Linked DNA regions of Macaca fascicularis. The protein of the gene in region 2 purifies or fractionates together with the protein of the main gene of each other region. This does not show direct contact. Links are inferred from orthologs where the notes say so. Each region holds a gene or a part of one and is shown on either strand. Other genes may lie near its edges.

Region 1 (4,342 bases), about 11 Mb from region 2:
CCTCAGCCTCCCAAAGTGTTAGGATTACAGGCGTGAGCCACCGCGCCCGGCGCTAATTTTTTGTATTTTTAGTAGAGACAGAGTTTCACCATGTTGGTCAGGCTGGTCTTCAACTCCTAACCTCAGCCCACCTCGGTCTCCCAAAGTGCTGGGATTATAGGCTTGAGGCACCGCACCTGGCCAAGCATTATAACTTTAAATGTATACCTCTATTTTTTGATATATCAACTTCAGACATTTATCTTTTGAGTCCCAAGTATGGAAGATAAGGAGCATACTTACCATTCATTAATCTCCCCTCACCATCATCCCATTTTAAAAATATTATTTTCCTACTGTCAATGTTAACAACTTGCATTCTGTAATCCTTCCATGCTTTGTCTTTGGAGGATTCTAAAGTTTATAAACAGACAGTATTGAGAATATTATGATTATGTATATATTTTACTGGAGAACTAAGCATGGAGGGACCCATAAAAAGGGAAATATTCCATACAGATGTGCCAATCTAATAGGCCGAAAAACAAAGTGGGCCAAAGAATCAAACAAGCATCTAATAACATTCACTGAGCAATGCAGCAGGCACACGTTAAGCACTCTACATACATTGCCTTATTTAATCCTCAAAACCACCATTTAAGGAAGAATGATTATGAGCACAACTTTGGAAAGAGAAACTAAGGCTAAGGTTACATGCCTGGCAAGTGCCTGTATCAGCTAGCATGGAGCAGGGCAGAGATTTGAATCCAGGCATGACTCCAGGGCCTGAACTCTTCACCACTAAACTGCTTGTTCATACTAGTCTTTCACTTTCTTTTTCCTAACAATGTCTAATTAATGCCCTGAATAGCAGAGGGAGTATGTTATTCACAGAGATTAAAATAATTCTGTCTAGGCCGGTGCTAGACCGGGTGCTCATGCCTGTAATCCCAGCTCTTTGGGAGGCTGAGGTGGGTAGATCACCTGAGGTCGGGAGTTCGAGATCAACATGGAGAAGCCTTGTCTCTACTAAAAATACAAAATTAGCCAGGCGTCGTGGCTCATGCCTGTAATCCCAGTACTTAAGAGGTTGAGGCAGGAGAATTGCTTGAACCCGGGCGGCGGGGGTTGCAGTGAGCCGAGATTGCGCCATTACACTCCAGCCTAGGCAACAAGAGTGAAGAAGTTCCGTCTCAAAGTCTCAAAAAAAAAAAAAAAAAAAAAAAAAATTCTGTCTAGATAATGAACTTGTTTTCAGATAGATGTTCTCTTCCAAATCTTTTAAAACTATCACAATGACACTGTGTACAGCCTTTCTACTCACCAAATCTGGGAAGCATTAACGATTATGCTTTATGGCTGGATTTCACAATACAGTATACAGAAATAAAGTATAGGTCTCGGAGTGACTTTTCCTGTTCACACATTAAAAATCACGAATAGAACACTGAAAGCAGTAGTCTGATATATGAAAATTATTTAAAACTCAGGAATTTAACACAATAAGCGAAAATTCCTTGAGGATACAGTTATCTCTTTGTTCTATCCTTAATCATGTTTTTCAATTGGGGATAAATTAAAAGGGCTATTGAATTATCCAACATGATGATGTTTCTTGCTACATTATATACACTATGCAGTAATACACTGAGCAGTTTCATTCCCAGTTATCTTTATTTCTAAAATTTACAGATGAAGAGAACATCATTTACAGACCAATTCGCTCCTTATGATTCCAAGCACAGATGATTATTTTACTGTGCAAGGCACGGAGCCACTAAACTCATTCAAAAATAAAACTATCACGGACCAGATGTAAATCAAGCTCTACTGACACTCAATTCTCTATGGCAGGAGGTCAAGTGTCTGGCTTATAATCATAACCTAAACCTTGACACCATTTCAACGCAACAAAATACATTCCTATTCCGAGTAACTGATAGTTTCTTTCCACTACAGGTGTTCTTCAGTAAACTAGTACACAGAACCTCATCTACAACTCAGAACCGGCATTTAAATTACTGGAGCATTCAAACAGATGTGGGTAAAAAGGGGATGCCAATTTCAAGACCAGCTCTAGAATCGAGAGTCACTCATTCTATCAGTTTCCCAAAGATGTCTTGAACTCTGTAGATATTTGTAAATTGGCACTTCTAATTTTTGTTATCCGTTTGTTAACGTATCTGACACTCTAAGCTGTGAGCTTCAGTATGGAAGAGGGGTAACATTCATCTTTGTATCTCCTAGGACTAGCAGTGTCTGGTACACAGCAGGCTCCGAATGCCTGTGTGGAATAAACCACAGGAAGTCCACGCTGCAAACAAAGGAAAACGGAGAGGAGGCATTTTAATTGAGACGTTAAGAAATAAATTACCCTTTAGAAACAGGCCTTGTGCCTCGCCAGCACAGAGTGCAATAAGTGAAGGGGCCTCAGGAAGCCGGAGTAAGGCATTACAGCCCTACCTTCCTTAACTCTCCATTGGGTCTAGACAGTGTGGCCTCTCGCCCTGCAGAGAGCCAGGCCTTCAGGCCCCCGATCCCTGCGTCCAGACGCGTGTGCAAATACCACAGAGCTCAATCCAGCCTCAGCCGTTCTCCCTTCCCAGCTCCGGCTCAGCTCCGGCCCCAGACTAAACTCGGGCCGCGTCTGCTCGCTCCAGGCCGTACTATGACAGGGCAATTCAGGTGGACCACAGGCGAACCTGGTTCACTCACCTACTTGGTAGAGCCGACCCTCGGGTGAAAAAATAGTAATGTGGCGGTCAAAACCGGCGCTGGAACCACGGGACATCTTGGTAGAAGCACTACTTCAAACACAATCCCTGGGTCCCGTAGCTCCCGCACCAGGCGTACAAGCACCTCCCGGAAGTTGCAGCGACTGCTTCCGGGGTATCAGCCGCATTTCTTCCGCTCTTGCACGCCAAACTCATGGCTCTGGAGACAGTTCAAGTGCTGAGCTCTGAGGCCCCGCCCCCAACGGGGGTGGTGGATGGAGGGCGGGGTGACTTCCAAGGTGTGCGCCTGCGCCAAGCCGGCCTCTTGAGTGGATTGAAGAGGTGAAACTTGGGTCGTGGCAGTTTCAGGCTTTCATCTGGAGAATGAATTGACAATAGCAAGGACGAAAAGCCTTCCTGGGGGCCCAGAATAGTGATTTGGCTATCAATGTGACCTAAATAGTCCGTGTAATTAACAAGTCTCTTACATGCATCATGTGTCTGATCAGACTGCTGGCTTGCCTTCTTCCTAACCTCTTTTACCCTCCACTTTGGTTCCTATTACGGGGGAAACAGATTGCAGCTGCAGTAGCTGCAGCAGCTGCAGCTGTTAAATTTAGGCACTGAAGGAAGCGGGTTCAAGTAGCCGCTGGAAAGAACATTATTTTCTGACAGCCAGGCAAGATCTTCCTTTGGCCAGCAGCCCCGACAATTTTTAGTCTTTTTTTTTTTTTTTCGAGACGGAATTTCGCCCTTGTTGCCCAGGCTGGAGTGCAATGGCGCGATCTTGTCTCACTGCAACCTCCCCATCCCGGGTTCAACCGATTCTCCTGTACCAGCCTCCCGAGTAGCTGAGATTACAGGCGTGCGCCACCACGCCCGGCTAATTGTGTATTTTTAGTAGAGGCAGGGTTTCACCATGTTGGTCAGGCAGCTCTCGAACTGCTGAGCCCAAGTGATCCACCTGCCTCGGCCTCCCAAAGTGCTGGGATTACAGGCGTGAGCCACCATGCCCAGCCAACTTTTAGTCTTGAAAGTGGAACTCCAGCCTGGTCAACATAGGAAGGCCCCGTCTCTAAAGAATAAAATAAAATTAGCTGGGCGTGGTGGCGCACGCCAGTAGTCCCAGCTACTCGGGGGGCTAAGGTGGGAGGATGGCTTGAGCTCAGGAGATCCAGGCTGCAGTGAGCTATGATCACGCCACTGCACTCCAGCCTGGGCGACAGAGGAAGATCTATCTCAAAAAAAAAAAAAAAAAAAAAAAAAAAGAAAGAAAAGAAAGTGGAACTGAGGTTGAAATACGGGTAATGGGGAATGAGGTTAAGCACCCTTGATTAATACTGAACTAAAGCTGAAGAGATGGGGCTTATGGCAGCTAGTGTCGCATGGATTAATGAGAGTAATTCCAAGCTGGCGAGGTAGCTCCCAGAGAACAGCAGGTGGCTTTTCAAATCGCAAATTTGTGCCTCTTTTGACTTTCCCCAAGGCACACTCCTATTTAATGAATATAAAATGCAAAACATAATGTTAGAATAGTTGTTTTTCTCCCCAGATACAGATGGTTTGTATACAAAGAAGGCAAGATACACTAATGTTTGTGGCACTGTAATGCCTGCTGTAATACTGAAGTAGGGATTCTTACCTCTTTA
Region 2 (4,292 bases):
GAGTAGACAGACACTGTAAGGCCCATAAAGCCTACAATTTACTCTCTGGCTCTTTATAGAAAAAGCTGGCCAGACGCAGTGGCTCATGCCTGTAATCCCAGCACTTTGGGAGGCCGAGGCGGGCGGATCACGAGGTCAGCATATCGAGTCCATCCTGGCTAACATGGTGAAACCCCATCTCTACTAAAAATACAAAAATAGCCGAGCGTGGTGGGACGCGCCTGTAGTCCCAGCTACTGCGAAGGCTGAAGCAGGAGAATCGCTTGAACCCAGCAGGTGGAGGTTGCAGTAAGCTGAGATTGTGCCACTGCACTCCACCCTGGGCGACAGAGTGAGACTCTGTCCCCCAACACACACACACACACACACACACACACAGTTTGCTAGTTTAAATCAGTGAATTATCCTGGGGAGAAAAAAAAAAAAACCGGGCTAATATCAGAGATAAATGCTATGAATGTACTAAAACAGGCTGATTTGTAATGCATTTGGAGGGAGGTTCCTTATAGAGGATGATGAAAATAGTTGTCTCTGAAGAGGTGACATCTAAACTGAGAACCGAATGACAACACCCAGGGTAAGTGTGTTTTAGACAAAGGGATTATTAGCAAGGGCAAAGGCCCTGAGGCAGGAATGAACATGACACATTTGGGAAACAAATAGCCCGAGTATTTGCAAGTGTAATGAATGAAGGGGCAAGTAGTAGAAAGTGAACTTAAAGGGGAGACAGCTGCAACAGCCTTTTGGATTTCATTCTAAGGTCAACAGGCAGCTGAGAAAGGGTTTTAAGCCAGACAGAGGCATGAACCCGCTGCTCTGTGAGAGTGGGCTGTAGAATGGCATATGCCGCGGTGGTCCAGGAGAGAGCTGGTCCGGGCTTGGATAGGGATGCTGTCGGCTCTGGTGCCGGTGTTGCTACAGGTGCGGAGGATGTCGGCAGAGCCAGAGGCCCACGCTAGCAAGGCTAGGAAAGAGAGGCCAGGTCTTATTCCATCTCTGGGGAAAGACAGAAGAGCCCTAAGTAAGACTTATCTGTCCCAGGCGGAGCAGGGGAAGAAGAGAGCAGGTGGGGAGCCAGTTGGGAGGCGGAAGGTGGAGGGCGGGGCGCGGAGAGACTGGCTTAGACTAGACGATGGGAGGACCCGGCGTCCTCGGACGGCGGGCGGCGAGTGGCGAGAGGCGGGAGGCGGGAGGCGGGAGGCGGGAGGCGGGAGGCGGGAGGCGGGAGGCGGGAGGCGGGGACGAGAGGAGGGCGGGGAGGCGGGGACCCGGCCGGCGGGGGTGGGGAGGCTGGAAACTGGCCCTCGCGAGGCAGCCTGTGCGCGCTAGGGGGAGCCGCACCCGCCGCCCTCCTCTGCTGCACTGCACCTCTCCCTGGCCGGGCTGACCCCGCCTCCTCCAGCCCTCCCCGCCCCACTACCCAGGAAGGCCGTGAGTGGTGCGAGCGCCGCTTTCGCTTTCCCTTCGCGGTGCCCACTCCGTTCCTCGTGCGGCGCTAGGCCCCCCGTCCCGGTCATGGCCACGCTCAGGGTTCAGCCCGAGGCCCAAGCCAAGGTGAGCGCCGCGGGGTCTAGAAAAGGCCCACTGGGGAGGCGTGGCTCGAGCGGCCGGGGGCATCCCCGACCCGCCCCCCAGACTCCCACACAAGTCAGGGGCAGTCCGCCGAGCTGGCGCTCCCGGAGCACCTGCGCCCCGGGGAGGGCGGTGACTGCTGCCTGCGGGGACAGGCGAGGCGGCCGTGGTTCTGTGGGGTGAGGTGAAGCGGAGAGCTGGCGTGGAGGGGAACTCCGCTGGCCTGGAGCCGGGGCCACACACAGACTGGATGCGGGACTGCCCCAGCTACCTCGTGGCCTTTCCCTTAGGGAGGGTCCCGGGGCCCACCCCGTCCCTGTCCTGCTCGCAGAGGGCTCTCAGCACCCCTCCTCACACCTGCCAGGCGACCCCAGGGATCTGGTCTCACGTGAACCACTGGCCCTTCACTGCCAGGAATGTTCTCATCCCCCGTATCCAGCCCTAGGGATACCCATTCCACTCTCCGTAGATCCAGGTCTGCAGAGTTCCACTCCTCCACCACCCCAACCCACCCCACAGGCATCCATCTCGCTTTCTTCAGGTCTGGCCTTAGAGGGATCCCCTCCACCCTTCCCCAGGTCAGGCCCTACATAACCCTAAGGGAACTGTCCTCAAATGAACTGGCCTTAAAGCCAAGTTTCTGAAGGGATGCATGTGCCCCACAGGTGGATGTGTTTCGTGAAGACCTCTGTACCAAGGTAAGACATGCCCCATCAGCGGCCCCACCCCTGCCCAACTCCTACTGCTCAACCCTGCCTCACCACCTAGGATGGGCATATGATGCTGACTCCCATCCTTCTCCATCCCACCTCACACACAGACAGAGAACCTGCTCGGGAGCTATTTCCCCAAGAAGATTTCTGAGCTGGATGCATTTTTAAAGGTACCGCAGCTGGGCAGGGAGCTAGGGAGTAAAGGCCAAGAGAAGGGTCAGGGGCTGTGAGAGTGAGGTGAAAGGAACCCCCTCACCTCCAGCCCTCCTCCCACCCTACACCAGGAGCCAGCTCTCAATGAAGCCAACCTGAGCAATCTGAAGGCCCCGTTGGACATCCCAGTGCCTGATCCAGTCAAGGAGAAAGAGAAAGAGGAACGGAAGAAACAGCAGGAGGCAAGCTGGGAAGACCTGGGAGAAGGGATCCAACCATGGGGGTAATCAACCTTAGTCCTGACTCTCATGAGCCCCTCTTTTTCTGCAGAAGGAAGACAAGGATGAAAAGAAGAAGGGGGAGGATGAAGACAAAGGTACTTGAAACCACAATTGTGGGAAGAGACTTGAGTCCCACCCACAGGAGCTACTCCTAAGGATTTCTTTCTACTCTCCCCTTCAACCCTCACACAGGCTCAATCATGTGACTGACCCATTGCTCACTCTCTAGGTCCTCCCTGTGGTCCAGTGAACTGCAATGAAAAGATCTTGGTCCTTCTGCAGCGCTTGAAGCCTGAGATCAAGGATGTCATTGAGCAGCTCAACCTGGTAGGCTCTCCCCCTTCAACTCTCAGGCTTTAAGTCAAACCATTGTCCTCTTAGTCCCTGCCATTTAGGGCCTGGCACATGCCAGGTTTTAGCAAGAGAGGGCACAGCAAGTGAAACCAGAAGTCCGGGCTCTGAGGCTCAGGAGAGACCTGGCATGCCTCCAGCCAGTGTGGGGAGGGAAGCAAGGGAGAATATGAAACGGAATTGGATAGAGGGCTGATGTGGCATTACGCCATTCCCTCTTCCCAGGTCACCACCTGGTTGCAGCTGCAGATACCTCGGATTGAGGATGGTAACAATTTTGGAGTGGCTGTCCAGGTGAGAGTGCTGCCCCACTTCCCTGCTCTTTTCTAGTCCATGCTTCCTTCTACTTTCCCCCTTGCTTTTTTTCCCTAGGAGAAGGTGTTTGAGCTGATGACCAGCCTCCACACCAAGCTAGAAGGCTTCCACACCCAAATCTCTAAGTGAGTGACCACCCATGTACACACTGTCTGTTTTGGGACAGAGACCTCCTTCTTCTACTCCATACACACTTCTCCTTCCACAGGTATTTCTCTGAGCGTGGTGATGCAGTGACTAAAGCAGCCAAGCAGCCCCATGTGGTAGGTGAGGCCCAGGTCAGGGTGCATGAGGGAAGGACTCATGTAAGGTCAGGCCTGACCCGAGCTTCCCACAGGGTGATTATCGGCAGCTGGTGCACGAGCTGGATGAGGCAGAGTACCGGGACATCCGGCTGATGGTCATGGAGATCCGCAATGCTTATGTGAGGAGGCGAGGGCAGGGGTGGGCAGAGGCAGCTTTCCCAGGCCACGCACTCCCTGACCCTGCAGGCTGGGGGTAAAGGGTGACAAAGCGCAGCTTCTCCACAAGGCTAGAAATGGGGCACAGAGCCACTGGAGGCCTCTGACTGACCTCCACTCCTCCCTGGCCCTGTAGGCTGTGTTATATGACATCATCCTGAAGAACTTCGAGAAGCTCAAGAAGCCCAGGGGAGAAACAAAGGGAATGATCTATTGAGAGCCCTCTCTCCCATTCTGGGATGGGTACAGCAGAGACCTTCCTACTTTTTACTGGGGACTCCAGATTTTCCCCAAACTTGCTTCTGTTGAGATTTTTCCCTCATCTTGCCTCCCAGGCACAATAAATATAGTTATACCACTGCCCATCAGCCCAAGTCTCTTTATTGGATCTGGACCCTGCTGGCCCTGGCTCAGGCATTTCCATTTCCATTAGTGGGACCAACCCA

The links. The genes of interacting proteins can lie anywhere in the genome.
Region 1: the proteins of PSME1 (region 2) and PSMA6 purify together in Homo sapiens (affinity purification with western blotting; 5 studies listed by BioGRID and IntAct, with this or other methods). This does not show direct contact. The link is inferred for Macaca fascicularis from reciprocal best matches to the Homo sapiens genes PSME1 and PSMA6.

What each region holds. Positions count from the first base shown.
Region 1 is NC_088381.1:103,105,060-103,109,401, reverse strand, and holds the start of PSMA6 (proteasome subunit alpha type-6), read right to left. Parts: upstream 2,844-4,342; 5' UTR 2,771-2,843; coding exon 2,695-2,770; intron 1-2,694. UniProt on the Homo sapiens protein: Component of the 20S core proteasome complex involved in the proteolytic degradation of most intracellular proteins. This complex plays numerous essential roles within the cell by associating with different regulatory particles.
Region 2 is NC_088381.1:91,949,846-91,954,137, forward strand, and holds PSME1 (proteasome activator complex subunit 1), read left to right. Parts: upstream 1-1,400; 5' UTR 1,401-1,515; coding exon 1,516-1,554; intron 1,555-2,237; coding exon 2,238-2,270; intron 2,271-2,392; coding exon 2,393-2,455; intron 2,456-2,569; coding exon 2,570-2,680; intron 2,681-2,768; coding exon 2,769-2,814; intron 2,815-2,948; coding exon 2,949-3,046; intron 3,047-3,295; coding exon 3,296-3,364; intron 3,365-3,442; coding exon 3,443-3,510; intron 3,511-3,593; coding exon 3,594-3,648; intron 3,649-3,722; coding exon 3,723-3,809; intron 3,810-3,982; coding exon 3,983-4,063; 3' UTR 4,064-4,209; downstream 4,210-4,292. Other genes in the region: EMC9 (ER membrane protein complex subunit 9), read right to left, coding at 4,257-4,292. UniProt on the Homo sapiens protein: Implicated in immunoproteasome assembly and required for efficient antigen processing. The PA28 activator complex enhances the generation of class I binding peptides by altering the cleavage pattern of the proteasome.